4 linked regions of the Struthio camelus genome follow. The protein of the gene in region 2 purifies or fractionates together with the protein of the main gene of each other region. This does not show direct contact. Links are inferred from orthologs where the notes say so. Each region holds a gene or a part of one and is shown on either strand. Other genes may lie near its edges. The genes, in order: DCAF11, COPS7A, DDB2 and COPS8.

Region 1 (7,660 bases), on a different chromosome or scaffold from region 2:
CCAGCGAGAACGCGGCGAAGCGCCGCTCCTCCGGCCTGCGCCACGCGGCCCCCCGTGACCCACGGCGCCGCCCCACGGCGGCCCGCCGGCCCCCCACGGCTCCGCCCCCCGGCCCCTCCCGCCCGTCGGCCGCCACCGCCAGCGAGAACACGGCGAAGCGCCGCTCCTCCGGCCTGCGCCCCGCGGCCCCCCGTGACCCACGGCGCCGACCCACGGCGGCCCGCCGGCCCCCCACGGCTCCGCCCCCCGGCCCCTCCCGCCCGTCGGCCGCCACCGCCAGCGAGAACGCGGCGAAGCGCCGCTCCTCCGGCCTGCGCCCCGCGGCCCCCCGTGACCCACGGCGCCGCCCCACAGCGCCCGCCGTGCCGCCCCACAGCACCCCAGCTGCCCCATAGAGCCCCTAACCTGCCCCACAGACCCCCCAGCTGCCCCATAGAGCCCCTAACCTGCCCCACAGACCCCCCCAGCTGCCCCATAGAGCCCCTAACCTGCCCCACAGACCCCCTAACTGCCCCATAGAGCCCCTAACCTGCCCCACAGACCCCCTAACTGCCCCATAGAGCCCCTAACCTGCCCCACAGACCCCCCAGCTGCCCCATAGAGCCCCCAACCTGCCCCACAGACCCCCCAGCTGCCCCACAGAGCCCCCAACCTGCCCCACAGACCCCCTAGCTGCCCCATAGAGCCCCTAACCTGCCCCACAGACCCCCCAGCTGCCCCACAGAGCCCCCAACCTGCCCCACAGACCCCCTAGCTGCCCCATAGAGCCCCTAACCTGCCCCACAGACCCCCCAGCTGCCCCACAGAGCCCCCAACCTGCCCCACAGACCCCCTAGCTGCCCCATAGAGCCCCCAACCTGCCCCACAGACCCCCCAGCTGCCCCACAGAGCCCCCAACCTGCCCCACAGACCCCTAATGTGCCCTATAGAGCCCCTAACCTGCCCCATGCAGCCCCTAACCTGACCCATTGGCCCCCCCTATCCGCCCCATAGCGCCCCCCCAACCTGCCCCCAGCCCCACCTGAGATCCAGGGCGGTGTGGTTGTCCCCGTCCCCGTAGATGTCATACACGTGGACTGGGCGGGGTCACAGGCAGAGGGGGAGGGGCCACATCAGCCACACCCCCTGGGAGGAGGAGCCTCACAGGCCCCACTCCTGTTCCCCCCCCCCCACAGCTAGCCCTGCCGGGGGTGGGGGGGCTTCCCCCAGCCCCACCCCCTGGCTCAGGCCACACCCCCACAGCCTGGCCCCACCTCCCTTGGGATCAGGCCCCACCCCCTGAGCTCAGGCCCCGCCCCCCAAGCTCACTCCCTGCAGCCAGACTAGGACAGAAGAGAAGCTGGGTGCTGCTGAGGGACTCAGGCTCCACCCCATAGGCCAGACCCCGCCCCAAGCCACACCCCCTGACACTAAGCCACACCCCCAGGCTCAACCCCACCCCCCAGGCTCATATCCCACCCCCAACCCACTTGCTCGACTAGCAAGTACTGCATTAGGTCCTGGCAAGGGGTTCAAGCCCCACCCCCAGGCTTCAGGCCCCGCCCCCAGGCTTCAGGCCCCGCCCCCTGGCCCAAGCCCCGCCCCCCAAGCTCCCCCCCCCCACCCCGACTCACTGTAGTTGGACCAGCTGGAGTAGAGGCACTGGGTGGCGTCGGGGCTGAAGGCCACGTCCAGGATGCTCCAGCCCACGTCGCGGCCCCGCGCCGCCCGCAACAGCCGCAGCTCGTCGCCCCGGCACTCGTACAGCCGCAGCGTGTGGTCTGCGGCGGGGCACAGCCGTCAGCGCCTGTACAGACCCCCCCCCCCCGCCCCCTCCCGCGGGTCGCCGCCCCGCTCACCCTGGCAGGCGGACACGAACAGCTTGCCGTCGTCGGAGTAGACGCCGCAGAAGGCTTTCTGCGCGTAACACTCGGCGAAGCTCACGTGGTTGGGCAGGAAGCTGTAGCCGAGTGGGGGGGGGGGGGGCGTCAAGCGGAGCAAGGCCAACCGCCGCGCGTCCCCCCCCAACCGACCCCGTCACCCCGCGGTTACTCACTGCGAGCTGACGCGGGATTTCTCCCCGCAGGAGAAGCTGCCGTTGCGACACCGGCCCCATTCCCGCTGCGAGAGGCGAGAGGGCGCCGTGAGGGGCCCAGGCGTCCGGGCGCGACCCTCCTCCCCCCCCCTCCCGGCCCCCCCCCCCAGCTCCCTACCTGCCGCAGGAGCCGGGGGAAGCTCTGCTCCGTGGGCCCCGGCCCCACGCGCCCCTCGGCCAGCTGCAGCTGCGCCTTCAGCTCGTGGCCGTCCAGCGCCCGCGGGTCCGGGCCGGCGCCCGCTGCCAGCGCTCCGTTAACGGCGGCGGCGGGCGGGCGGGTGGGTGGGTGGGGGGAGACGCTGCCCCCCCTGCTCCCACCCCCCCCCCCACCGCCGCATGCCAAGGGGCCCAGGCGTCCGGCTTACCTGGCGGGACGTAGCGGTCGCCCGGGCGGCCCTCCCAAGCGCTCTCGGCGTCTTCCTCGTCTTCCTCCTCATCCTCCTCCTCGTCGTCGGAGAGGTCCCGCGCCGCCTGCGGGTCTTGCACCAGCCGCACCCGCCGGCTGTGCGACGGTGGGGGGGGGGACAGAGGGGGGGCGTTAGGGGACATTCGGGGACGAGCAGAGCCGCCCCCCTCGTCCTCCCCCCCCCCGCCCCCCGCGGCGCCCTGGGGGTCCCCCCCCTTCCCACAATCCCCTGGGGCCGCCCCCAATTCCCCCCCCCAGTCTCCCACAATGCCCTGGGACATTCCCCCCCTCACCCCCGTATCCCACGATGCCCCGGGGCACCCGCCGGGGGCGCCTACCTGCGCAGGAGGTAGGCCACCACTTGCACCAGGTCGATGTCTCCTTCCTCGTCCTCCTCCTCCTCCTCCTCCTCCTCGTTCTCCCGCTCCTCGGCGGGGGGGGGCGGCGGCGGCTGCCGGCCCCGGGGCCGCCGCGGCCCCCCCGCCTCCCGCCCGCCCCCCGCGCCGCCGCCGCCGCCGCTGCTGCTGTGCGAGCCCATCTGCGGCGTCCCGCCTGCGGGGCCCCCCGGTTACCCCGGCGACCGGGCTGACATCGGTTACCCCCGGCGACCGAACTGCCCCCCCGGTTACCCCGGCGACCGGGCTGACATCGGTTACCCCCGGCGACCGGACTGCCCCCCCGGTTACCCCGGCGACCGGGCTGACATCGGTTACCCCCGGCGACCGAACTGCCCCCTGGTTACCCCGGTGACCGGGCTGACATCGGTTACCCCCGGCGACTGAACTGCCCCCCAGTTACCCCGACGACCGGACTGACACCAGTTAACCCCAGCGACCAGGCTGCCCCCCAGTTACCCCAGCGACCAGGCTGCCCCCCAGTTACCCCGGCGACCGGACTGACACCAGTTACCCCGGTGACCGGGTGCCCCCCAGTTACCCCGGCGACCGGACTGACACCAGTTACCCCAGCGACCAGGCTGCCCCCCAGTTACCCCGGCGACCGGGTGCCCCCCAGTTACCCCGGCGACCGGACTGACACCAGTTACCCCAGCGACCAGGCTGCCCCCCAGTTACCCCGGTGACCGGGTGCCCCCCCCAGTTACCCTGGCGACCGGACTGACACCGGTTACCCCCAGCGACCGGGTTGTTCCCCTCCCCCCCCCCGTGACCACCCTGCCACTGCCTGACACCCCCACGACCCCCGGCAACCGGCCTACCCCCGGTCTCCCGCGGCGACCGGCTGACCCCGGTATCCCCCGGCAACGGGCCCGGGAGAGGGGCGGCCCCCCCCCCCCCAGTGTCACTCCCAGTATCGGCCAATCGGAGCCCCGGGGTCGCCCAGCTCAATGTGGGGGGGGGGGAGGCGCGAGGGGGGGGCACAGCGGTGCCCCGCTGCCAGCCAATCAGAGGGCGGGGACGGGGACAGCCAGCCAATGGGGACCCTCTGTGCCGTGAGGGGGGGGGGGACACGCATGCTCTACCCCCCCCCCCAAAAGGTGGGGACCCCGCCGGCGCCCCCAGCAACGGCCGCCCCGGGTTGGGGGGGGCCTGCTCCACCAATCAGGGCGCTCCCCCTCCCCGCCGGCAACCAATCAGGAGCCGCTCCGAGGCGCCCCCCCCCCCAACCGGCGGCGCCCCCCCCTCACCTGGTGGCCGCAGCAACTTGTTTACGCAGCCAGAGCGGAGGCTCCGGGGAGGGGCGGAGCCTAGGCGCTGCGCCCTGATTGGCTGCCACCACCCCCCCACGGGGGGGGGGAGCCCCCAGCCAGCTCATTGGCTGCCGTCCCCCCTCAACCCCGCCCCCCCCACAGCAGGCTCTGATTGGCCGGGAGCTGATAAGCGCCGCCTCCTGCCTCTCCCTCCCCCCCCCCCCGTTGCCTGGCGAGGCAGGTGCTGATTGGCTGGCAGGGCAGATGATTGACAGGGAGGGTGGGACGTGGAGGGGGAGGCGCTCTCCCCGATTGGCTGGAGAGCAGCTGGGGTGGGAGGAGCAAGCCTAACAATGCTCCCTGATAGGCTGGGGGGTGAGGGGGGTGGGACTAGCGTGACTGACAGCTCCCACAGAGCCTCAGTAGCTGCCGATTGGCCGCGGCGAGTTGGTCCTAGCTCCTCCCCCTCTGACCCTGCCCCATAGCTCCTCCCCCCTCTGACCGTTGACCCCCCCCCCAAGGACAACACAGACCTGGCTCCGCCCCCCTGAGGGCTCCTTTATTGGTCCCCACCCGCCCCAAAGGCACCTGGGAAAGGGCCGGGCGGCGGCAGGCTCCGGCCAATGGGGTGCGGCGACGTGGTGGGCCGACAGGGCGCGGCGATTGGTCAGGCGAGGGGCGGCGCCGGCCCAAGCCCCCCCAGGTGCCGCCCCCTCCCTTCTCCCCCCCCCCACCGGAGGCCGTCGGCCAATGGGCCGCGGGTCCACGGAGACGTCGGCCAATGGGGTCACAGTGGCATCAGTCAGCAGGCGACGGCGGCCGGTGGGCGGAGCCGTCGGGCAACAGGGCGGTCGGACGAAGGACGGTCAACCAAGATGGCGGCCAGCAGGTCATGGAGACCAAGCAACAAAGATGGTGGCCAAGGGGGCGCAGTGATTGGTCAACGAAGGTGGAAGCCAAGGGGGCGTGGCGATTGGTCAACAAAGATGGAGGCCAGCAGGTCATGGAGACCAAGCAACAAAGATGGTGGCCAACGCAAGGCGGTGATTGGTCAACGAAGGTGGAGGCCAACGGGATGCAGTGATTAGTCAACGAAGGTGGAGGCCAGCAGGTCATGGAGACCAAGCAATCAGGATGGTGGCCAAGGGGACAGGGCGATTGGTCAACGAAGGTGGAGGCCAATGGGATGCAGTGATTGGTCAACGAAGGTGGAGGCCAGGTCATGGAGCTCAAGCAACAGAAATGGTGGCCAAGGCAAGGCGGTGATTGGTCAACGAAGGTGGAGGCCAGCAGGTCATGGAGACCAAGCAACCAGGATGGTGGCCAAGGGGACGCAGTGATTGGTCAACGAAGGTGGAGGCCAACAGGTCATGGACACCGAGCAACAAAGATGGCGGCCAAGGGGACGCGGTGATTGCTCAAGATGATGGTGGCCAGCAGGTCCCGGACACTGAGCAACCAAGATGGCAGCTGAGGGGATGCAGTGATTGCTCAACGAAGACGGCACTCAAAACAATGCGCTGATTGGTCAATGAAGACGGTAGCTAAAGAGATGTCATGATTGGTCAACAAACATGGAGACCAGCAGGTCATGGAGACCGAGCAACAAAGATGGAGGCTGAACAGAGCATAGTAATTGGTCAACAAAGATGGTGGCCAGCAGGTCCCGGGGATCGAGCGACCAAGATGGAGGCCAAGGGGACATGGCGACTGGTCAATGAAGATGGCGGCCAGCAGGTCCCGGAGACTGAGCAACAAAGACGGAGACCGAGGGGGCGCGGTGATTGGTCAACGAAGACGGTGGCTGAGAGGACGTGCTGATCGGTCAACAAAGACGGCGACCATCACGTTCCAGAGACCGAGCAACCAAGATGGAGGGCAAACGGACGGGGCGATCGGTCAATGAAGAAGCTCGCCAGCAGGTCCCGGAGACCGAGCAACGAAGGCGGAGATTGAGGGGGACGCGGTGATTGGTCAGCGAAGACGGCGGCCAACGGCTCGCGAAGAGCCAGCAGCGAAGGCGTCGGCCAAGGGAGCACGAAGAAAGGTCCGCGAAGGCGCCGGCCAGCGTTCGGCGGCGGGCGGGCGGTCACATCTTCTTGAGGCGCTCCTCGAGGGCCTCCAGCTCGCCCAGCACCTCCTTGGGCAGGTCGGAGCCGAACTGCTCGTCGAAGTAGCGGCGCAGGTCGCGGGCCTCGCGCTCCCAGAAGGGCCGGTCCATGGGGAAGAGGTCGGCGTAGGTGACGCCGGGCAAGCCGGCCAGGTCGAGGGCGCCGGGTTGGGGCACCAGCCCCACGGGCGTGGGTCGGGCGCTGGGCTCGCCGTCCACCCGGCGGCACACCCAGGCCAGGACGCGGGCGTTGTGGCCGAAGCCCGGCCACACGAAGCGCCCGGCGCCGTCGCGCAGGAACCAGTTGACGTGGAAGATGCGGGGCAGGCGGGCGCCCGCCCGCTCGCCCACCGCCAGCCAGTGCGCCAGGTACTGGCCCGCGTTGTAGCCGAAGAAGGGCCGCATGGCGAAGGGGTCGTGCATCAGGCGCTTCCCTGGGTCGGGGGGGGGCGGGGCCGGTCAGCGGGGGGCGGGGCCTCGTGGTGGGGGCACTGGGGTCAGGGTTGGGGGGCACTGGGGGCACTGGGATCAGGGTTGGGGGGCACTGGGGATAGTGGGATCGGAGTTACGGGGTCGCTGTGGTCAGGGTTAGGGGGGTACTGGGAGCACTGGGGACAGGGTTCGGGGCACTGGGAACACTGGGGACATTGGGGTCAGTGTTATAGGAGCACTGGGGACAGAGCTGGGGGGCACTGGGAACACTGGGGACAGGGTTGGGGGGCACTGGGGATGTCAGAGTCAGGGTCATAGGGGCACCAAGACCTGTGGGGACAGGGATAGGGGGCACTGGGGATACTGGGGCCACTGGGGACAGGGAAAGGGAGCACTGGAGACACTGGGGACAGGGATAGGGGTTCACTGGGGACAGAGATGGGGGCTCACTGGAGACACTGGGGCCACTGGGGACAGAGATGGGGGGCACTGGGGCCACCGGGGATGGGGAAAGGGGCTCACTGGGGCCACTGGAGACACTGGGCCCAGGGATAGGGGCTCACTGGGGCCACCGGGGATGGGGAAAGGGGCTCACTGGGGCCACTGGAGACACTGGGCCCAGGGATAGGGGCTCACTGGGGCCACTGGGGACGGGGAAAGGGGCTCACTGGGGCCACTGGAGACACTGGGCCCAGGGATAGGGGCTCACTGGGGCCACTGGGGACGGGGAAAGGGGTTCCCTGGGGCCACTGGGCCCGGGGATAGGGGCTCACTGGGGCCACTGGGGACGGGGAAAGGGGCTCACTGGGGCCACTGGGGACGGGGAAAGGGGCTCACTGGGGCCACTGGGGACGGGGAAAGGGGCTCACTGGGGCCACTGGGGACGGGGAAAGGGGCTCACTGGGGCCACTGGGGACGGGGAAAGGGGCTCACTGGGGCCACTGGAGATACTGGGCCCAGGAATAGGGGCTCACTGGGGCCAGGGATGAG
Region 2 (8,084 bases):
TATAAAGTGTTATTCTGAAGGTGTTAAAGTGAAGGTGATATAGTGATGGAAAGAAGACAAAAATGCAGAAATTATTTCTGTTGTGTATTTGACCAGGATCTGGAGCAGGATCAACGTATGTCATGTGAGGACAATGAAACATCTTTCTGCCCCGTCATACCTGGGAAGCACATGAGGCTCTTATTTCTGCTAGGCATAATCACTTTAAAATCATCATGTACAGATCGTTTATTCCAGAGTCTTAAGGTTGAGTGGCTGGGGAGATCTCTGATCCACTGCTTTCTAGCACTGCTTCCTAAGGGTCGTGAGGCTCGTGTGGTTGCCCTGCTACCTGGAGAAGTTTGTCTGTCCATCTGTTTGTCTGTCAGTTGCCCTGCTGTGGAACCCCTGGGCTCGTTTCAGCCAAATTCCACAAAAGAAATAGAGTCTAAAAAGTAAGTAAGTTCCAGTAAGTGGTATGAAAACCGGCAGCCTGATAGAAGAAAGAGACACTGTTGGTGGCTGTGCTGAAAGCCCTTAGCCATGCTGCTGGGCAAAAATCCACATGTCAAAGCAGTCCAGCCAGCAGGCAAAAATAAATTAAGGGGAAAATACAGAGAAAGATGTCTATGTCAGAGAGTGGGGGAGGAAGAGCCCAATGACATAGGCCATAAGCAAAGGGGAAAGGGCTAAGAGTTGTGGGGGGGTTAGCTGAGTAGATTATGGGGGGAACATAAGGGTTTTGACAAGAAATGGAAGGTAGTGGTGGGGAGGGGGTGGACTGGAAGCACTTGGGGAAGCAGGCAGCAGCTGACAGAAAGGGTGTCTTAAAGAGACCCTGGCTGAAGCTGGCATATGGTAGTGGGAAGTATAGAAAATATAGGAAACAAGTGCATAGAGAACCCAGTTTCCTTGGTCCCATTGCTCACCAAGCAACCGGTTAATAAGCTTTGGAAAACCAGAGACATCCCAGAAGACTGGAAATTAGCTATGCTCTGCCTATATTTGTGAAGAGCAAACAGAAGACCTAAAAATTTCCAGGCAAAGCAACAGAGGAGCTGATATGAGATTCTTCAGTCAACGCCAATCAGCATGATTTTGTAAGAAACTGATCTTGCTGCATAAACTTGTTTTGTTCTTGTTAGGCTTTGATGTGACTACAGGTCTGTTTGGAAAAGGTGACGACTTAGATCTATCCAGGCTTTTGGAAGCATTAATACCCCAAAGCATTCTGGTGAAAAAAATAGCGTTATGCAATGTTAACAAATCAGGAGATTAAGTGAGCTGGTTCAGTGCATTTAACTACCTAAAAATGCAAAAGGGCTTGTCCCTGGAAGCCCACCATTGAGCAGCAGTGTCTCTTATGTGCTTCTGCAGGAATGAGTCCTGCCTGGGTCAGGCATGATTCACCATTTTCTTCAGTGTTTAGGGAGCAGATGTAAAGTTCACTCTAATACAATTCACTGATGACACAAATATTTTTAGAGTGTTAAAAATAATGAGGCTAGAAACAGCATAGAATGACCGACTGCTCTCAGTAAGGTGGTCATTCACATAAAACTTCTTTTAAGATAGTCAAGAGCAAATCGCACAGCTATGAACAGGAAAAAAATTCCATATCTACAGAGAACTTTCAGTCCTGAAAAGAGGTGTTCAGAAAAAGATTTAGGGATCATAACAGGCAGAAAAATCAACACAGGCCTGGTGTGCCAGGCTGCAGCAACGGATCTGATGTGATCCTTGGCATGCAAATGCTGGACTAAGGAGGAGACGTAAGGAGATGATTACACCTCTCCCTGCGACATGAGTGAGTCCCACCCTGGAAAACTGCACGCTACTCTGTGGTCCATATTTTAAAATTAACATTGAATCAAAAATGATCTGACGGCTGGTGATCTTAGTAGTTTGAAGAGGTCAATCTGTTTAATTTATCAAAAAGCAGAAAGAGACATGACTTGATTACAGTATCACTTCCTTCCTAGGGAAAAGTCTACCAGGTATGCTGGCAGAGAATAACAAGAGCTAGTCGCTGGAGGGTGATTAATCACAAAAACAAACTACCAAGTGAAGTGAAATATCCTCTGTCTCCTGAAGTCTTTGAATCATGACTGGAGGCCTGTCTGGAAGATCATTCCTGATCTGCAAATTCCTGAAGGCTGTGAGAGCATGTGGGAGGAAAAGTTACCACGCAGTCACCCTCTTCTTAAATTCCTCTGTAAGCGACTACTACCGGGCTACCTTAGGTATAATTAGATACAAGTCTTATGTCCCTGTGCGCAGTAACCAAGTATGGGTTATAGGGCTCAAAACTTTCTGGATCATGTTGCTATCCAAGAGGTTCACCCCACCTTCCTTTGTCCTCAAAAAGTTTTTGGCTCAGAGTTTGTCGTGCTTATGCACAGCTGTGAAAAAAACATCTGTGAAGATGTGACCTGGGCTTAGTTTGGAGAAGAACTGGGAAAAAATATCCTCAGCATTTGGACAAGATCTTCAGATTCTGCAGTAGTAAAGACATAAGCAAGTTGTAATGATACAGTATAACTCTACAGGCTTTAAAGTGGGACAGTAAGGACGCAGGGAAAGAAGGTGGTTCTACGGCAGGGAGAGAGGACGGTGGGTTCATTCTGTGAAGATCAAAGTAAGATCAAGAGAAGAGAGGGATGATGCTAGAGGTGGTTACAGAGACGATCAGCAACCCTGAACACTCAGAAGTAATAACACATAACCTCCCAGTATGATAAGATTTACTTTAAAAGTAATGAAATGTTGTAAAGCCATATATATTTTCATCTGCATTCTTTGCCTCTTACTTTTGACTCTTGAGATTACACAAAGATCACATTTCACAGTTCCTCTGTAGCCATAAAGAGAGGAGTTTGCTCAGTTAACAAGATGATAGCAGGGGAGTTAACAACTCCAGGAGTTCGGAATTTAATCTCAGTGCCTGATTCCCTGATCTAGGGAGGAGGCAAAGACTTTGCCAAGTTATGGGCAAGTTGTGAATGCCTTCTAGCGAGAGTTTGTACACTTTAAGAAGAGGAGGGTCTTCTCCTCTGGAGAGCTCAGCATGTGGTTCATTCACAAGACCTTCTTTTCTTTGCCTTTGTTAATACAGGCAGGACAAGGAGGGAGCAGAACAACCGTGGGGACCAATCTAATCCAGCACACCAGACCTAGGGGGTCAGAGTGAAGGAGGAGGACAGAGGCAGAATCGTGCCGCGAGGATGCTCAGGCTGCCCAGCTTTATCTGACTAATAATGAAAGGCAGCAAGCGTGTCAGAGAATGTGAGGGAAACAGATCGATAGAGAGATAAAACTGAGATGGAAGAAGCTGGCAAGGGGGTGGGGAAGAGAGTAATAAAACACTACAAGTCAACGCGGTTACATTTTAACCTGATTTGTATGCTCCCTGCGCTGGTGTAAATGAAGGCATCAGGTGTAAGGCCAGGGTGAATTAGGCCTAAATACAGAAACAGAGGTGTAAAAGAATGAAGGAGACAGACCTCTTATTAATACTGCCCTGTAACCTGCCTTCACAGCTCCGACCCTACCTTAGAGGCCCTGCTTCCTCTGTAATCCTGCTGTATGGAGAAACCAGGACCTCGTGAGCTCTGAGAATACACATCTGTGGCCTTTCCCTGATTCACTGGACTACTGTGATCTTCATCTTCTCCCAGAGCAGTGACACTGCATCTCAGTCGCATTATCCCAGGCGGAGCACAGGAAATGCTCCTTATGGCCCTGTTCACTGAGGATCTGGGGCAGGGCAACCTCTGACACTGCCTGCTTGCTAGCCGGTGGGCACTCTGCTCTCTTCTTCCAGCAGTAGCCTCAGCACCGAGACCAAACACTGAACACACCTCAGAGGCTGAACCCCCTGAATATGGCTCGGGACAACACGTATGGCTGTAGACACGAGCTTGGAGTAACCCTCCCGTTACTCAGGCTGCACCTTCGCTGCGAGACCTGATAGCGTGAGCCCTCGCAGCAGCCACGGGCTGCGTTTTGGAGCACAGTGCCCCAAAGGAGGCTTCTCCAAAACCCAGCCACAGCAGCTGCAGGAGAAGCAGCAGAATCAAAGCAAGTAATGAGAAGGAAAGTAAGGCCTTTACAGACTTAGACGTTACCTAGGTGAAGATTTCAAGACGTTATGCGTATAGTATAGAAGTCTGGCACCGGACCACTCCACTGTCTTTGATATGTGCCGAAGACCTCTTACTCGCAAGCATGTGTTGGAGTGCAAACCTGGCCCGACTGCCTCAAGTTTGAACATAGTAAAAACATGCTGCCTGAGACCACGTCGGCTGGACGGCTGCTCCTGTCGGCCTGTTGCCACCTTTGCTTCCGTCTCAAGATGTCCCTGAAATCTGGAAGAAACCAGCTGTGGGAAAGTCAGTATGGGGCTGGAAATGAATGTTTCCCGACTCCTCTGCTCCCTCAGCCCCCCTGACAACTCCTCTCAGCCCACCGCACGATTGATGCACAAGACAAGACCTATCAAGATTATACAAAATGACCCTCTCTTTCCAGCCCAATCACCCCCACCCAAAACGTTTCTTTCGCCTCGCAGAGGGCCAACCCCCGCAGCGAGGCCTGCCGAGCCTCTTAAACTAACTCGTTTGCCCGTGAGGAGATAACTGAGGGGGCGTTGCGAAGCTTTCCATGCCGGGGCCGGGGCCGGGGCCGGGGCCGGGCCGGGGCGGACCGCGGTCGGGCGCGGGGCGCCGCGCCCCCACCGCGCCCTGCGGGGGGCGCCCTCGCACCGTGCCGGCCCCGCCGCACGCCCCTCAGGCTGGCCAATGGGAAAGCGGTAGAGGCGGGACTGGCCGCTGCCTCCGCCAGTCGCGGGCGGGGGCGTGTCGCGGCGCGGCGAGGCCGGGCGGTGCCAGCAGCCCGGAAGCGGCCGCTCTGCGACGTCGCTGCCATAGAGAAGAGGGCGCGGGGCGGGGAGCTGCGGGGGAGGGGGGCCGAGCTGCGGCGCGGTGGGGCCGGGCCGGGCCGGGCCGTGGGGGCCGCGGGCGGGCGGGAGCGCCATGGCGGCGGAGGGGAAGGTGACGGGGCAGAGCCAGGAGCAGTTCCTGCTGCTGGCCAAGGCCGCCCGCGGCGCCGCCCTCGCCAGCCTCATCCACCAGGTGCTGGAGGCGCCGGGCATCTACGTGTTCGGGGAGCTGCTGGACATGCCGGCCGTGCGTGAGGTGAGCCCGGCGGCCCGGCGGGGTGGGGGGTGAGGGGCCGGGGGCGGCCCGTGGCGCGGGGTGACCCTCTGCTCTTGGCCGCAGCTGGCCGACAGCGAGTTCGCGCCCGTGTTGCGCCTGCTGACCATCTTCGCCTACGGGACGTACGCGGACTACCTGGGTGAGTGCGGCTGTGCGTTTAATCCGTTAATGCTGCCGTCCCCCCCTCCCCCCCCCCCACCCCCGCGATGTGGCGAATCTCCAAGAACATCTTGAGGAAGATTTTTTTTATTAGGGGGCCACGGAGAGGGCCTAGGTGCCCATGGAGGCGTGGAGGCCTCTGTATGTACGGCACTGAACTGACTAGGAAAGAGGGCTCAGAAAAGCTCTTCTGAGCTGCGAGGTACCAGTGGTGGCTTGTCAAGGCAAAGCGTTGCTTGGGACACTGGTATCTAGAAGGCTTAGGAAAGGGTTATGGTGTAGATGCTTCTGTGGCAGTGCTGGGAGATGGAAACTGGGACTTGTGAAGTCTAATACCCTCCTCTTTCCCTTGAGAATAGCTGAAGCAGCAAACCTCCCTCCCTTGACAGAGGCTCAGAAGAACAAACTGAGACACCTGTCAGTTGTTACTCTGGCTGCCAAGATCAAGGTAACAGCCCTGTTTTTCCCCCCAGTCCTTCTTCTGTGGGGATTCGCTCATGCTAGTTACCTTCTTGTTTCCACAGTGCATCCCCTATTCAGTGCTGCTGGAACAGTTACAGCTGAAGAACGTCCGGCAGCTGGAGGACCTCGTGATTGAGGCTGTGTACGCGGATGTGCTGCGCGGGAGCCTGGACCAGCGGAACCAGCGGCTGGAGGTGGATTACAGCATTGGGCGGGACATCCGGAGGGAGGAGCTAAGCACCATCACCCGCACCTTGCAGGAGTGGTGAGGAGGAAGCCCACCATACTAACACCTAAAAAGGTTGAAGGAGTTGTCAGGGGCTTCCCCAGATTCTCTGCCCCTCTTTGAGGGGAGTAGTGTTTTGAGGTTGGTCTACTCAATCCCATTTCCCATACGGCAATGGAAAATAATTTTTCACTTCCCCTATTTGCTTCTGGAGGGGTGATGACAGCTCAGCAACTTTTGCACAGTTGTGGTTCCTGGCAGGAGGCTTCCTGAGTATACATCTGTATAGCTCCTAATCTAGCGTCACTTTGTGATTTGTCTCCTGCCCCCCCTGCCATGTAATAGTGTCACGACGTTATTACATGGGACTGCTCCTCCTGTGTCTTCCCTGCCTGGTTTAGTCATCACCTTCCAGTCTCATTGGCCTCTAGAGTTGAAATCTGTTGTCTTTCACTTTTCTTTCTGTGCTATGCGAATCTTTCTGGCCCGTTCAGTCTTATGTCTTCTCTACAGGTGCCAAGGCTGTGAAGTTGTCTTGTCGGGCATCGAAGAACAGGTTAGCCGAGCCAACCAGCATAAAGAGCAACAGCTGGCGCTTAAGCAGCAGATAGAGAGCGAGGTGAGTGGGCTAGGGAGGGAGCAGCCAGTTCCACTCACTTTAAAAATGACTGGAAACAGTACCATGTGGTTGTTACTGTTTTTGCTCAAGTAAGGCATTGCCTTTCCCTTAGGCCAGGACCCCAGGGGTTTGTGCCTGAAGAGTTCTAAATCAGCTAAATGCTCCTCCACAGTACAGAGATCTGGATAGTCATTAGCTCTTTCGTTTGACCTGTTTGTTTGGTTCTTGCGTTTCCAATATGGCAGGTGGCAAATCTGAAGAAGACAATTAAAGTGACAACAGCAGCTGCTGCAGCAGCCACATCCCAAGACCCGGAACAGCACCTAACAGAGCTCAGGGAGCCAGCCCCTGGCACCAACCAGCGCCAGGCTAGCAAGAAAACTTCCAAAGCCAAAGGGTGAGGAGTGGTGGCAACTGAACGTAGCCACTGTCTGTGTATATTGAGGAAGTGAACTGATGGAATTGCTGTTTCAAAGCAATGAGGTTACTGACTGCAGGGCTCTGCTCCCTGGACATGGGATGGTCACAGATGTAGTCCCAACTGAGCTCTGCCTCCTACTAATTTGGAGGGAAATGCGTGCAGTTCTTGGTCTGAAGCCGAGTTCATAAGCCTTCCTTGTGTTCTGTCCTGCTGCTGCCGAGAAGCCCCTTTGTGTGCATTTGGAAAAGGAAGTCGGGGATGAGCCTTAGTACTCCACTCTGAAATGTTCTCTCTCTCCACAGGCTCCGGGGCAGCGCGAAGATTTGGTCTAAATCAAACTAGTTGGATCCTCCTTCACAACTGGGAGGGTGAGAGGGAGAGATTTTGGGGGGGAAGGAGGGTAGCAAGGGTCCCAAGTGTGATGCTTCTGAACTCATCTCCAAGATCCATCTCTCCAACTAATTCTCCTGCATGTTTGTTCTCTTTCCTGGCTTCTTCCTTCCCAGCCAGTCTATCCCTCTTCTCTATCATAGCATTTTACCCTCTAAGCTGTATGCCTTGCTGTTTCCCTTACCCCTCAAGCCCCCATCACCACGACCATATGTTTCTCTCTCTTCTTCTCTCCTTGTCTTTCGACAGATAAATTTAAAGAGCCAGAGAGCTGCCAGTCACCTTTGCACCAGTAGGGCATGACAGAAGCTTGGAAAGTGTGTGTGGTGCTCAGCAATCGTTTTGGCTCTATGAGACCCCTGGGACGCTTTGCTCCAGGATGCAGCTGCCATCTTTGATTGTTTTATCTTTGTTTTGCTGGGTGGGAGGGTAGTTTTTGAAGGGATTCTTTTAAAAAAAAATATATAAATATATTATAAATATCTATAAAAATAATAAAAATACAGATCTATGGACATATCTATACAAACTTGTGCTCCTGCAGTGGTGTCTCATTATGCCTCATGCATGCTGATTCTGGATGTAGCAGAATAACTTCCGGTATTGAAAACC
Region 3 (7,097 bases), on a different chromosome or scaffold from region 2:
CCCAGAGCCTGCCAGGGCTTTGCATATGCTTCCTCTTGTTAAACCTTTCTGCTCCTCGCCAGTGATTTATCACCAAGAGAATAGGAGGGGACTAAGGACATGCCACAGGTGGTACTTCTCTCGGATAGTTTACAACCTACCCAAATACAACAAAGCTACCTAACCCCCGCCAATGACTTGGAAACGTGCAGTGGGAGGGGGTGAGCTTATAGCAGAGGGAAGGTCAGACTTGTGACCAGCAGAACACCACCACCTGAAAATTCCCCAAGCGTAGTAACACAGGAGTTCCCATGCAGTTCCTGAAACGCCTGCTCGTGAATCAGAACATTCGATCTGCTTGTGCTGTAGCCCATACAGCCTGCCTACAGCACTGCGAGTTTGGTTTTTGATAATAGACTTGCTGACGCCTCATCGCCTGAAAACCTTTCTGTTCAGCGTGAGTTTTGCTGAGAGCACAGACTGCTTCGACATTTTGTTCGTGTTCCAAGTTTTATCTTCAGGGACCTTTGCATGAAAACAGGATCCGTTCAGTCCCATGTCTGTGATCTAATCGTTCCCACAGCAATGGTCCATAACACCCCAGGGGATCTAGATGTCAAATGGCAAGGAAGCATTTCTTAAGAAACAAAAATCCTATTTTCATGTCAGGATATTAATAATAAAATAGGACCAAAACACAGACATCATCCTTCATGACGAGACAGTAAAGGAAATCTTTCTTTAATGCAACACTGTAGCCTAGAGATGCAGTGGTGTGACACTAAACTTCTTTATTCACATGCCAGCATAGCAGGCATGTGTCACACCTGCTGAAATAGATATAAAAACATCTCCATTCAAATTCCTCGTTTTCACAGAAGAGTTAGCATCTTCAGTACTTTCTTCAAAGGTGATACTAGAGGGGTATTTTTTCAGATTCAGTTTTGTTAGGAAGGATAATTTGTTAAGAAGAGAAACTTTCGGACTTTTCTGAATCCAGGGGAAGAAATGTTTTTGATTGCAAGAAACTGAATCTCTCTTATGTTACTTGGGGAAAAAAATCATGTTTTCCAAAGTACATAAAAATCAAAATTGGGACACAGAACGGAAAAGCTCAAATGCAAAAGTTTTTGTCTTCTTGTTTTTAAGAAAGGTGTAAGGGAAAAATAAGCTTGGCCTCGTTTTCCCAAAGTACTAGCCACTTCCAATTCCCTCTGAATCTTATGGGAACTGCAAAACTCACCAAATCTGAAAATCAGGCCGTGAAGTTACAGTAAAAATCTTGTAGCTAAATTAACTAAAAAAGTGTTAATTATCCACCATCATAAGCAGAACTCCTTTTAAACAGAATATTTTATCTTCATTCACTATTCACACTGTCAACTGATCTGAAGGTTGGAGTTACACATCAGAGAATGTGAATGTACAAAATGGCAGAACTCCTGTATCTCCAAATATTAAAAAAAAAAACCCTACAGTAATTTCTGGATCTTAAAAACAAAACAAAAAAAAAGGCACAGAAAGTGTATACTATTTCCACACCAGGCAATAACTCTACTGGTCTCCTAAGCAAAACGTGGAATCAAAAAAATAATGCCCGTAGAAACATGAAAACAATCGTTAGTCTAACCGAAGTCTATACAACTCTCCTGACAATGCAAAGCATGAATCTTTCCAATATCTACGAACTCAACCAGCTCCGTCTCATCATAGCAAAAACGTTTAAGAGACGTTTTCCTAAATTACATACAAGAGAAAAAAAAAAAAAAGCAGATGTGGAGAAGTGATTAGTGGAATTCTGTCCAGTCTAATATAAATACCTAAATATAGAGGTAGAAAGGATGTAGCCTTCCTGCCTACTGTAGGTAAAGTCAGAATATGCAAAGAATATGCCAGTTTAGACTGTATGCTAAACTGTAGGATACCAAGCTTACGATTATGAAACTGCATTAAGAACTACATGACAAAAACAATACATTACAGGGATCGGTCTGTCCTACAATAAAGCAGACATCTGGTAAATCAGGAATTCCACAGAACTTAATCACCCTCCCGTGAGCTGCGACAGAGACTTCAGTGAGCAGGCGTCCAGCAAGGGTAGCAACTTTCAAAAATGAAACATGCATACACATGCACGCTCATTAGACAGATAACTGGAGACTGTAATACCCCACCACGCATCTGTGTATCACTTAATCCTTAATCCTTAATATAATCCAATCCAAACGCTCGTGTTTGAACAGGCTGCAGGCTTGCTGGCATCTTCCCTCTTCAGCTAGTCGATGCCTGTCATTTAGGGTAAATCTGCCTGGCAAAACCAGCAAGAACCTGAGGAAACGTTACCTATTTTCTCTGGGGGTTTGGACGTTTTTCTCACAAACAACCTCTTTGCTTGTGGCTCGTTCTCTATTTCTTCATAGTCTTGTTTCCTTTTCCCAGCTGATTTTGCCAGTTCTGCTAGCTGATGCTCATGTGTCCTCACATGCTTCTTGTCCTTGGGCTGGTTCTCCAGAGCCATTCTGTCTGACCACTGAAAGCGAACAAAGCGTGGAAGGTAAGGCTGCCATACGCTTTTTAGCCGGAAGACAGAGGAGAAAAGGGGACTGAAACACGTCCCAGCGGTCTGGACGCAGTGACTGTACCTGCGCCCTCCTCCATCCGCCTGGCGCTGCCCTCGCGTTGCGCTCTACCGGAGCAGGTTCAATAACCTCTTCCTTGCTCGCACGTGAAAACGAACGCACCCCAGGGCACCCGAGTTGTGTTCGGGCCACAAACGCCTCCGCGGAGCTTTTAAGCTTAAAACCCACAGACCTGCGTAAAGTACCGCTGGGACACCACGTAACGCCGTAGCTGGTTTCTCCGGGAGCTCACTGAGACCTCTTGGGGGGCAGCTAAGGGGAGAGACCGGAGCTTTTACGAAGACGACGCGGCCTGCAGCGCACCGCCCGCAGCAGCGCCCAGGCCGCCGCCCCCGCCGCCCGCCGCCCGCTCCTGCACCCACCCGCCGGCGCCAGGCCTCGCCCGGCCGCTGCCTCTCACCTGGGCTCCGGCGGCCTCGGCTCCCCCGGCCGGCGGCAGCGGGCACCTCCCCGGCCGTTTCATAAGCGGGGCGGGGAAGCGGGCTAGCGGCTCTTCCGCCTCCGCGGCGGCGGTAAGCCCGCAGGCCGCCGGCGCCCCCGCCATGGCGGCCCGGCCCGGCCCCTGGCGGCGGGCCCCGGCGCACAGCCGCCGCCCGGCTCCGCGCTCGGCCGCGCCGGGGCCAAAGGTGCTGTTACGTCTGCGGCGGCCGCCTGGCAGCTTATTATTATTTTGGGGGGCACAGGTCTTCTAGCCTTACATGCTTTTTTTTTCTTTTTAATTGTTATTTTTTTAAACAGAGCGCCGCTTTGGCCTATTGCAGCAGCCTGGCAGGGGCCTGTAGCAACCCCCCCCCCCAAAAAAAAAAAAAAAAAAGATACTGCTTCAAAATACAGCTTTCTCAAGAAGACATATCTGAGGGCTGAGTTGTGTTGGGACTCAACTGCAGAAAAAAAAAAAAGGTAGGCTCTTTAAAGGTAGGTAGAGAAGTCCCAGCAGCGTGGGTTACGCAGTAATTTCTAATGCGCGGCAAGGTGACTCGGGCACTGCTGGCTCTTGTGCAACGAAGCGCGCCAGGAAGGCGAACGGCGAGCCGCGAGGCGGCGGGAGCCCCGAGCGCCACCAGCGACGGCCGCCCCGGGGCCTCGGTGGGCGCCCCCGCCGCCGGGAGCGGGGGCACCCCCTGCTTCAGGTCCACCAGCAGCTATGCCGAGTGATTAAGGTCCGGTCATCCACACAGCTGCCGTTGAACCCAGGTCCTAAAATAGCTGTCACCACTCCTTGGGTTGTTGTTGGGTGGTTGTTTTTTTTTTTTTTGCTATCTTAGAAAATGCATAGAAAAATTACCAAAAGAAACAACAGGGACCCAAACCACACGCTGGACTTTTTTTGCTGAACTATAACAACACTGTATTAGTTCCTGGCACCCTAGGACTAAGTATCAGAATAACATAGAAAAAGTCATAACCCCTGACAGACAGCACTTAATGTCTTTGAGAACATATTAACACATTTGCTAATTAGGTTGACATGTTTTATCAAGCATTTTTATAATACATAACATTGTTCTGAGAACTTACCCATTAACAAGAAATACTGTTAGTAATAATTCAAAGTAGTACTTGCCTTCAGCCCTCAGAAGCCTTGAAGGCTTGATTTCTAAGAAGGGAAATAACATGGGAAAATATCCTTCTTCTCGTAACAGTGATTAGCAGTTTCGTCCACAGGTTTGCGGAAGTCATCGGAGGAGGAGGCACAATCTGTGGAGTTCATCAGGAATCACCAATAAATTTCAAATTAAACTATGTAATTCTTAACATCTGCTTTTCAGATACTTTAAAAGGGTACGTAGCTATGTTTGTAACTGGAAAAAACAGGCCTCGATCCCAGTCGTCTTCAAGTGGATTGAAAGACATCTACTGATTTCCATGATCTATGTACTGCTCCCAAAGTAAACGCTGATCCTGTTATCCAAGTTATTTCCAGCAAAGATGTGCACTTCCTATCCCCCTTCCATTCCTCTGCCTCCAGGGTGAGCTTCCTCGGGCAGAGAACATGCATAGTAACCTAGGGATTTCCCGCTTTGAGCTGTCAATCAGGGCTGTCCTTTTTTTAATCAATTACACCAAGTTTGCTTTCCCTCTAGAGAGTCGCCAGATAGTTTTGTAATTACTATTTACTACGGACAAGAAGAGCAGATAACATATGCAGATAAAAGAAACCCCACTGACCCAGGGTTCCAGAGATAAGTATCGCTGTGCTGGTACGGTACGAAGGACACGCTGCATGCTGAGCAGTCCAGAGAAAGAGTAATTGGAAAAATGTTCTTAAATGTATTTACAGTCTCACACTCTTCAGACCCGATAGTAGTAATGTATGCAGCAAAGTCAGGCAAGTATAATTACGGGTGGGCAGGATATGAGTCTTATTTTTACGATGCCTTTTGTCTGACCTATGATTTTAGTAAAGTTCTGCCTTGGTTATGCATGGCTCTCCAACAGAGAATACAGCAGTGTCGTTACCAGGTCTGGTAAAGCTATACTGCCATTAAGACCATCAACTTGATGGTGTATGTAATAGTATTAGGTATTTTGCCTCCTTGTTGCCAGGATCTTTTTCCAAAGCATGAATGGTTTTGGCTGCTTTAGCGTGACTACTCATGTAAAGAGTACCATCACAGCAACTTGAATTTGGCCTGCATGTGGAAGCGAGCCTGTGTTCTACTAAAAAGTAGGAAAAAACCTATAATCCTCAAGAGATACAAGAGAGAGTAAGTATCATGCTCTCCGACCTCCTTCTAGCCCATGACCTTAACTAAGCTGCCAGGTAATGGGAAAACAGACAAAAAAGTCACTGTTTTAATCACCTCATTTACCTGAGCAATCCATTTTCCCAAAGCTATTCCAGCCTTAGAGGAAAGGCGTGAAGCTGCCACGTCATGCAGGACCCATGCCATTTAATCAGTGTTGGTGAAAGGGTGCAGAGGGCCAGATCCCCAAATGGAAAGCATCTATTTTAGATGCTCTGTGCATGGCTATCAATATCAAAACCAGTATGAAAATCAGCATATGAAAACACAGGATAAATGCTGGATGTAGCATATTAATCTATGACAGATTTTTTTCCTTTTTCTGCTCTTCATTAATGTACATAAAATTGATGATGGAAAGGAAATCTCGAATTAGGGAGCATCTATGCCAAACACCGTTTTTTTTTTTCAGTCGAATATGAAGTTGGTGCTTATATTTTCAGCTATGATTAACTTTTAGGATAAGTTAAAGATCTCGCGTCACTTTTTGAAAGGATACTCATTGTAACACCAACTCAGGGACTTCTTGCGGGTGCCCATCTCCCCGGGAACTCCACGCGCATTAAAAGCGAGCAAAGGATCGGGGCCAAAGCAAATTAAGCAGAATGGTTTCTAACATCTGCTTTCCAACACAGGACTTCCTCGCACGGTAGCACTCCGAAGAAGCAGGAGCACGGATGTGTGGCACGCTCTTCCTTCTGTGAGGCGCTCCGTCTTCCCTTTCTCCACCGATTGAATAAACGTCATTGTGAACTCGCTCCTTGGCGCTGTGTCCCAAGTCGCTTGGAAGCAAAGTAGGGGCAAGGGGCCAGCCAGGCCTCGCAGCTCGCCTGGCGTAAGCCCTGCCCTAGCGTCATGGCAAATCACGCCCAAGGCCGGGGTTGGAAATGGAAACTCTGGCGCGCGAGCTCCCGGCGCTCGGAAGGAGCTGGTGTCACCCGAGGGGCTGCGGGGACTTAGAGGTGAGCTGTGGATGAGGCAGAAAATGTTTTTCAGAGGAAAAGAGAGCGAGCGACCGAGCCGGGCCGGCGCGGCGGAGGCTGGCCGGGAGGGCCGGGAGCAGGGCACCGGGCGAGAGCGGCGGCGGCGGCGGGCGCGCGGGGCCAGGCCCGACGCGCCAGGGGCTGCCAGCGAGGGGCTGCTGCGCGCCCCGCGGGTCGCCGCCCGGCTGCTGTCGCCCAGTCCCTAACAGCGGCACCAAAAAGCAGAAACGCCAACCTAGAAAACCCGGAGAAGAAGCCCCCCTGCGGCGGGGGCCCCGCTCCCCCGGCCCACAGCCCCTTAATTGGATCGGGAGCTCCGGGCGGGGGCGCCGCGCCGCGTCCCGAGTGCCCGGGCCGGGCCGGGCCCGCCCCGCCGGCAGCCGCTGGCGGCGGGAGGCGGGCCGGGAGCCCCCGTGTCCCGCGGCTGAAATAGGGGGAGGGCCCGGCCCGCTCCCAGCCCAGGTGGCCGCCCGCCCGCCGCCCTGCTCCGCTCCGCGCCGTGCCGCGCCGCGAGGTAGGTGTGAGGGTCGCCCCCGCCGCCGCTTCCCGACCTGCTCGCCGCGGGGGGCCGGGGCGGGGGCAGAGCCCGGTCCGGTCCCCGCCGCCGCCTCCTCCCGGTGGGAGGCGGTGGGGCAGCTCGGCGCGGCAAACCAGCTGGCGGCTTCAAGGGAAAAGTTTCCTCACGGAAAGGGGGCGGGTGGGGGAGGCGCTGCCCGGCCGGTCGTTGCCCGCGGGGAGCGGGGCGGCGG
Region 4 (7,129 bases), on a different chromosome or scaffold from region 2:
CAAGCATCATTTACCCTGCATCAATAAAACATTTTCAATAGAGTTTTAAAAGGAAAGAATCAAGTTCACACAGGGACATGTTAATAATCCACCAGAATGAATTTAAAGGATTACATCAGTCAAATAAAGATGCTAATTTAGATCATTTCAACAACCAGTGCCCCTCATGTTTAACACAGGAAGTTTAAAGTTACCCTGCAATACCTTTAAATACGAAACAGCAGCATGCAGTCGAAACAGCAGCATGCAGTCGTAGTCAAAACAAATACTGTCTTAAGAAGCTACAAAGCAAACCATAGAAGCATTCAATGCTTCCCACAAAAGCCAATTTCACTACTTAAATAACTTTCTTCCTGAAGTCTGTTTCCCTAGGCTTCGGAAAAAGTACGCAAGAGCAAATAAAGGAGGCTATTTTTCCTGACATAGGAAGGGAAGAGAAAGACTTACAGTTGATTCCTACCTAAGCTCATTTTTTACACAACACTGCCTACATGCATTTTGTTAGTCACACAGATTGACCTAGCATTGCCAGAATTCTAGCAATCAGCTTAAAAGGGACAAATTGTTCAGTATACAAAGCTAAATATTCATAAGAGCCACTTACATGTCATTATGTAACAAGTATAAAGCTAGAAGTTGGCCATAAACAAGGGGTGTTGCAATTCCTCCAGGGGCCTTAAAAGCAAGCACAAATAATTTGGTTACATGTTTTAAAAGCAAGACATCTTAAGAAATACATCAAGCAGCTGAATTTAATGAAAAATGAACATAAGACACTTGCTGTTTTCCACCTCAGATAACAGCTGTGGACAAACTGTCAGAGTTGTGACACTGCATTAACACATTTGTATCTCAAGATGAAGAGTACCTTGCACAAGCCACAGTTTTGCCTTAGAAAACTCTATTATGTTGTCTGCACGAGTAACATAAAACAGCATATTTCATTATACTAATGTTCTAGCTTATGCTCATGAAAGTGGTGACCATCTTATTCATCATGACCAGGTGCATCTAGGCTGTCTTCAGTGAACTTGACTTCAGTTCATCTCAGAGCACTCCACAAGAGTAAAGTTTCTTTCCACACTTGAATTGCCCTTCTTAAAAAGGGAGGCTGAGCTTTGACACTTGCCACACTTCAGCAGACCTCACCAATTGTACAAGTAGGAAAAAAGAGTTATAATAAAGTTATAAGATTTTGGAAGGCTATAATTATTAAAAAGCTGAAAAGATTTCCAACAAGCTTTTAGCAATTTATCAAAGGATAGTGCAGTAAGCATTCACAGGAAGCCAATTACGCAGCTATTGGATTTCATTATGTGTGTGACTTAGAGGCTCATCTAAGCCAAAAGCAGGTGATTAGCTGCGTCACTGAACAGATATCATCCCCAACTACTCTTCTCACCCTTTTTTCCTGGGCTTATCACCAACCTACAGCTACAACATTTTCAGCAAACACACCCTAGATTACTTCTGGTAAAAACAAACACAGGTCAATTAACATCACCTGTTTGAACTGTGCAAGTCTGGTGTTCCTCTGTAGCAAATTAAAGAAAAATCAGGTTTTTCTGCCAGAACACTAGTGCGAGCTGATGGAATCACAAACAGTCAGAATAATGCTTTCATCTACAGTCTTGCCAAAGGAAGCAGAAACAGAGCTAACTCAGCTCTAAGCAAAAGAAACAGTAAGGACGAGTGGTGCATCTGCTGTCATTTACTCTGGGTGGCTCTGCTGACAGACACAGCAGAAGCCTCGAGCATAGCACAGCCTAAGTTCAATTGCTTTATAACAGCTCCCAGGGACCCACCAAGGTCCAATAAGACACAGTTTGCAGTGAGGATGCCAGGGAGGGATGTCAAACTGTCTCAGACGGCTACAGAAGCAAAGCCAACAGCCTTCCAGACTCCATTCTCAGTACTCAGAGCTGAGTGTGCTGGGCTGATACAACTCTCCCTCTGCTCCACAGAGTCGAAAGAGGCACACAAAGCTATTTAAAAAATAAAAACCCTCCTCTACAGGATTCTGGGCACAAAAAGAAGCTACAGCATCACACTGGGATTATGAGTTGCACCTTGGGTCCAGCACAGAAATAAGAAATGGAGGCTGAAGTTCTTCCTCAACTAAAGCACCAGGAATACAGACCCGTAAGTAGTGACCTCCTCCATTTAGAGGTTATATTTAGTAGCACCAAATTGTTTGGTAACACCAGACTGCATAACTTCAAGTTCAGCTGTGGCAAGCAAACAGCGACTGGGCCACCTCCCTGCTTTCAATTGCTAGGCCAGCAAGATGCAAAATCAGTACCACTAAAGAGAAAAAGAGAAAAGAAAAAAGAAAACAGAAAAATTCTCATTTTCCCCTTCTTTCAGGTCTCTACCTTGGGAGGCACGGTATTCATTGATTTAAAAAAAAAAAAAAGCAGAAGCACTGAAAGCTCCCTCGACAGCAGCCTTAAGGATACGACCTAACAACAACTTCTGACAATTAACAGGGCAGCACTGGGACTTGTAACCTCTTCCCGCCGCGGCTCCGGGGGCCACTCCAACTTCACTCAGCGCCCACCACCCATAAACCCTCCAGCGAGGGCCACGTTAAAGCAGCATGGAGGCCACCCCCCGTGTAAGACATCCCCCCTGCCCACACACACACAACCCGAGGGGCGCTCCCAAGCCGGGCAGCGCCCACAGCCTCAGCGAGGCGCCCCGCCGGCCACGGAGCAGTGCGCATGCGCGGTGCCCTCACCAACCCCCCCCCCCCCAGCCGCCGCCATCGCCATGGTGCTCCCCGCGGCCCGGCCCCGCCGGTACCTCGAGCTCCTGCGTCTCGCACTGCTCCAGCAGTTTCTTGAAGCTGAAGGAGTTTTCTGCCATCACCGCTACGGGCATTTTTCCCCACCCCCTCGCCACGGCACCCCGCCGCCGCCGCCCGGCCCGAAAGCGCCGCCAGCCGAAACCGCCTCCTCTCAGGAGGCGGCCGCGCCTGGGCGTCACTTCCGTCCCGCCACCACACGCACTTCCGCCCTCGACGCGCGGCAGCCGCTCTAGCGCGCTAGCCGCTCTGTCTCTTATACCCTGGAGGACTTCCGGGCGGGGAGGGGGGTTCCGAGGCGGGCTCGGCGGGGCCGAAGCCTGGGGGCGGGGCCTCGGCAGCGGGGGCGGGGCCGCGCGCCTTACGAGGGTGCGGAGGGCGCGCGGGGGCTGCGGGGGGTCCCTGGGCCGCGGCCGCTTCGCGCGGCCGGTGCGAGCCGGGGGGCGCGGCGGAAACGCATGAGCGGCCCGGTGTGCACGGGCGTCCTGCTGGCGAGCTCCCAGTGTGCACGGGCGTCCTGCCAGTGGGCTCCCAGTGCACACGTACATCCTGCCAGTGAGCTCCCAGTGTGCACGGGCGTCCTGCCAGTGGGCTCCCAGTGCACACGTACATCCTGCCAGTGAGCTCCCAGTGTGCACGGGCGTCCTGCCAGTGGGCTCCCAGTGCACGCATGCATCCTACCAGCGAGCCCCCAGTGTGCACAGGCATATTTCCAGTGAGCCCCCAGTGCACACGTGCATCCTGCCAGTGAGCCTCCAGTGTGCACAGGCATCCTGCCAGTGGGCTCCCAGTGCACACATGCATCCTGCCAGTGAGCCTCCAGTGTGCACAGGCGTCCTGCCAGTGGGCTCCCAGTGCACACGTACATCCTGCCAGTGAGCTCCCAGTGTGCACGGGCGTCCTGCCAGTGGGCTCCCAGTGCACGCATGCATCCTACCAGCGAGCCCCCAGTGTGCACAGGCATATTTCCAGTGAGCCCCCAGTGCACACGTGCATCCTGCCAGTGAGCCTCCAGTGTGCACAGGCATCCTGCCAGTGGGCTCCCAGTGTGCACAGGCATATTTCCAGTGAGCTCCCAGTGTGCACAGGCATCCTGCCAGTGGGCTCCCAGTGCACACATGCATCCTGCCAGTGAGCCTCCAGTGTGCACAGGCGTCCTGCCAGTGAGCTCCCAATGCACGCATGCATCCTGCCAGTGAGCCAGTGTGCACAGGCATCCTGCCAGTGGGCTCCCAGTGCACACGTACATCCTGCCAGTGAGCTCCCAGTGTGCACGGGCGTCCTGCCAGTGGGCTCCCAGTGCACGCATGCATCCTGCCAGTGAGCCCCCAGTGTGCACAGGCATATTTCCAGTGAGCTCCCAGTGCACGCATGCATCCTGCCAGTGAGCCCCCAGTGTGCACAGGCGTCCTGCCAGTGGGCTCCCAGTGCACTCATGCATCCTACCAGTGAGCTCCCAGTGTGCACAGGCGTCCTGCCAGTGAGCTCCCAGTGCACGCATGCATCCTGCCAGCGAGCCCCCAGTGTGCACAGGCATATTTCCAGTGAGCCCCCAGTGCACACGTGCATCCTGCCAGTGAGCCCCCAGTGTGCACAGGTGTCCTGCCAGTGGGCTCCCAGTGCGCACAGGCATATTTCCAGTGAGCCCCCAGTGCACCCGTGCATCCTACCAGCGAGCCCCCAGTGTGCACAGGCATATTTCCAGTGGGCTCCCAGTGCACGCATGCATCCTGCCAGTGAGCTCCCAGTGTGCACAGGCACATTTCCAGTGAGCCCCCAGTGCACACGGGCATGCAAACAGGAAAAAAAAAATCCCGCAAGCGGAGCTGCGGCGAGCTCTCCGCGAGAGGGCACTGCCCGCCAGAGCAGCAGCCTGCCGGCGCCCAAGGGACAGGCCGAGGGGGGGTTTCACACGGTGCCTTCTCGGCTGCTCTCTCTTTTAGGGCGCTCGGGCATCTCGAGGGGAGTCAGGGGGGAGCCCAGGGAGGAGGCGGTGGCCTCCCAGTGCCGTCCAAGGGCGGCCAGTTGGCGGGACGCAACGCCTCGGGCCGGCGGCAGACGCGGGGACGGGTCTGGGGGACGGGCAGCGGCTCGGCCGGGTGGAAGGAAGGAGAGAAAGAGCAAGAAAGCGAGAGGAAAAGAAGGAAAGGAGAGATGTAGGGAAAGGGCGAGAAGGAGGAGGGGCGCCGTTGGGCTGCTCTACAAATATTGTGAAGGCCCTTTGCTGGCTCTTGTAGTTCAAAATGGCGAAACGGCGCGGTGACCCAGCTCCGCGCGCTCCCTGGGCCCCTGCGGGAGAGGCTCTCCTCCGGCGCTTGGGGCCTCCCCCCGCCCCAATTTGTTTTATCCTAGTTTATTAACTCAAGAGACGAAGCAGAGGGATCTGCTTTGGGCTTTCGCTGCAGCCCCTGGCAGTAGCGGAGGTCAGCTGCCAGGGCCGGCTCAACACGCCGGAAGCAATTTTTGTTCCCAAAGCCTGGAGATGCCTGGAGCCAGCACAGGACGAGTTCAGACCCTTGGTTGTAAGCCTTGCTTCTTGCGCGCGGGACAGAGCGAGGACGAGCCGTCCATAAATCCCCACCACCACCACCGCTCTTGAAGCTCACGTGCTTCCCTGCCCCTCTCTGGCTGGTCTCTCCAGACTGCCCTTTCCCCTCACCTCCAATGGCCCTGGTGGGACATCACCCAGCAGCAGAGACCCAGCAGTAACCAAGAGCGTCCTGGCCCTCACAAAGTCACGTCCAGGAGCCTCTCTTCAAGTGAAGCCTCAAAATAAGAGGCAGGAATCAGAAAAGAGCTGAGCTAGCTGGAAAATGTGCGCGGCTTAAATTAGTGGCGAAACTCTGATTTGAAAGACCCTGAATTTTGCCTTTGGCCCGTAGGATTTGAAAAAAAAAACACTTTAAGACTTGGCTGCCGGCTGTTGCAGAAGCGTAAGGTATTTTTAATGCGATTTTGTTTTTATTCCGTGCCTTAGGGCAGCGATGGTGTGAAGCCCCCAGAAATTCATCTGTGCCTCGTATGAATTTTAATGCAGCAGGAGAAATGGATTCCGGTTCTGCCGCACTGAGCAATCGTAACGCATGGTAGTTTTGTCTTCAAAGTAACATCCCAGCCGGCTCCAGGAAAGGCTAGCGGAGACGCTGGGACTGGGCTTCGTCTTCCCAGTTGTTTCCACGCGCTGCCTATGATCCGGAGCTATGCTCTGGAAAGGCGATTAGCAAAGCTTCCCCTTTTCTTATCTTCTTCAAACGCTTTTAAGGGGAACCAAAAAAAAAAATATCATTAAGGCGGACAAAAAGATCATTAGAGGGAAAATAAGATGTAACGGCAGCGATATGGAACAACAGGAAAGGTAATTTAATGCAGAAGTCAAAGAAAACGGTGGTAAGGGTCAAGTTGAAGTTCTCCACACCCTTCCTGATCGTCCGCGCGCCCCGATTTATATTCGCTGTGGCTGAGCTGAGGAGCAAATATCTCTTAAGTACATTGTTTCCTTCCATTACATCAAAGCATGCTTTTTCATTAGCCACCCTAATCAAAGTGGACAAACGTCTCGTTTTTTTTATTAGCCGTTGCATCGCAGGGCGGAAACAGCGAGAGGCCAAGGCGAACAGGCCGCAAGCAGAACCCAAAGGGGACAATTTCCTCCTTGGAAACTTTTTTTTAACCTGAGGGCTACGACAGCGAGGTTACAGGGCTGCAAGGAGCTTCCTCCCGCCATCACTGTTGTGATATTAAAGAGAAACCAAGAGGCAACCCAAAGAGCCTGGGTCTAGTTTGGGAAAGCACTGACGCCAGGATTTCTGGTGGCGGCGGGACGACACGCGTTTCGGGTCCAGCACTGGCGCGAGCGCCCCGCGGAGTCGGCGCCGCCTCTCTGAAGGTCTGGAGAAAATCAAAAAGAAATTATTCTTTTTGCTCCCAGCCGATGGGCAGCCAGGCAGGACACTCGGGAGACCGCGGCCCCTTTCTCCCGCCCTTTGCGCGAGGCAGCGGCGAAGGGGTCCGTGCCGGATGACGCGCTGAAGGTTGTCCGCGTAGCAGAGCATCCGGGCAGGGCTGCAGGTGTCTTGACCCGCCGTTGGGTCAAGAGCGATTGCTTCTGCCAGGAGCTCCGGAGGCAGAGATTGCCCTTTCCTAACCTGCGAGGGGGAAAAGAGACCCTGCGTGTATTTAACCTGAGCTGTTTTTATGACTTTCAGGGCACGTCTACACATTTTCCTCTTTTTGCCTCGTTCCAAGGCGATCCCAGGCTCCTAGGTCCGGCCGGTCTCGTTCTTGGCATATTTTAATCCTCCATGGCAAAGACCTTAAAAAGCG

What was found.
Region 1: the proteins of COPS7A (region 2) and DCAF11 purify together in Homo sapiens (affinity purification with mass spectrometry; 3 studies listed by BioGRID and IntAct, counting the BioPlex papers as one, with this or other methods). This does not show direct contact. The link is inferred for Struthio camelus from reciprocal best matches to the Homo sapiens genes COPS7A and DCAF11.
Region 3: the proteins of COPS7A (region 2) and DDB2 purify together in Homo sapiens (affinity purification with mass spectrometry; 5 studies listed by BioGRID and IntAct, counting the BioPlex papers as one, with this or other methods). This does not show direct contact. The link is inferred for Struthio camelus from reciprocal best matches to the Homo sapiens genes COPS7A and DDB2.
Region 4: the proteins of COPS7A (region 2) and COPS8 purify together in Homo sapiens (affinity purification with mass spectrometry; 11 studies listed by BioGRID and IntAct, counting the BioPlex papers as one, with this or other methods). This does not show direct contact. The link is inferred for Struthio camelus from reciprocal best matches to the Homo sapiens genes COPS7A and COPS8.

What each region holds. Positions count from the first base shown.
Region 1 is NC_090970.1:262,867-270,526, forward strand, and holds the start of DCAF11 (DDB1- and CUL4-associated factor 11), read right to left. Parts: upstream 3,033-7,660; 5' UTR 3,019-3,032; coding exon 2,819-3,018; intron 2,577-2,818; coding exon 2,440-2,576; intron 2,315-2,439; coding exon 2,193-2,314; intron 2,101-2,192; coding exon 2,036-2,100; intron 1,940-2,035; coding exon 1,839-1,939; intron 1,761-1,838; coding exon 1,614-1,760; intron 1,077-1,613; coding exon 1,022-1,076; intron 1-1,021. Other genes in the region: PCK2 (phosphoenolpyruvate carboxykinase [GTP], mitochondrial), read right to left, coding at 6,218-6,672. UniProt on the Homo sapiens protein: May function as a substrate receptor for CUL4-DDB1 E3 ubiquitin-protein ligase complex.
Region 2 is NC_090942.1:90,744,997-90,753,080, reverse strand, and holds COPS7A (COP9 signalosome complex subunit 7a), read left to right. Parts: upstream 1-4,959; 5' UTR 4,960-5,012; coding exon 5,013-5,174; intron 5,175-5,258; coding exon 5,259-5,334; intron 5,335-5,713; coding exon 5,714-5,802; intron 5,803-5,878; coding exon 5,879-6,081; intron 6,082-6,555; coding exon 6,556-6,661; intron 6,662-6,906; coding exon 6,907-7,058; intron 7,059-7,384; coding exon 7,385-7,424; 3' UTR 7,425-7,450; intron 7,451-7,721; 3' UTR 7,722-8,001; downstream 8,002-8,084.
Region 3 is NC_090946.1:39,425,572-39,432,668, forward strand, and holds the start of DDB2 (DNA damage-binding protein 2), read right to left. Parts: upstream 3,184-7,097; 5' UTR 3,163-3,183; coding exon 3,019-3,162; intron 2,871-3,018; coding exon of another isoform or gene 2,791-2,870; exon of another isoform or gene 2,622-2,790; intron 2,510-2,621; coding exon 2,323-2,509; intron 1-2,322.
Region 4 is NC_090947.1:4,259,357-4,266,485, reverse strand, and holds the start of COPS8 (COP9 signalosome complex subunit 8), read right to left. Parts: upstream 3,137-7,129; 5' UTR 2,884-3,136; coding exon 2,806-2,883; intron 676-2,805; coding exon 605-675; intron 1-604. UniProt on the Homo sapiens protein: Component of the COP9 signalosome complex (CSN), a complex involved in various cellular and developmental processes.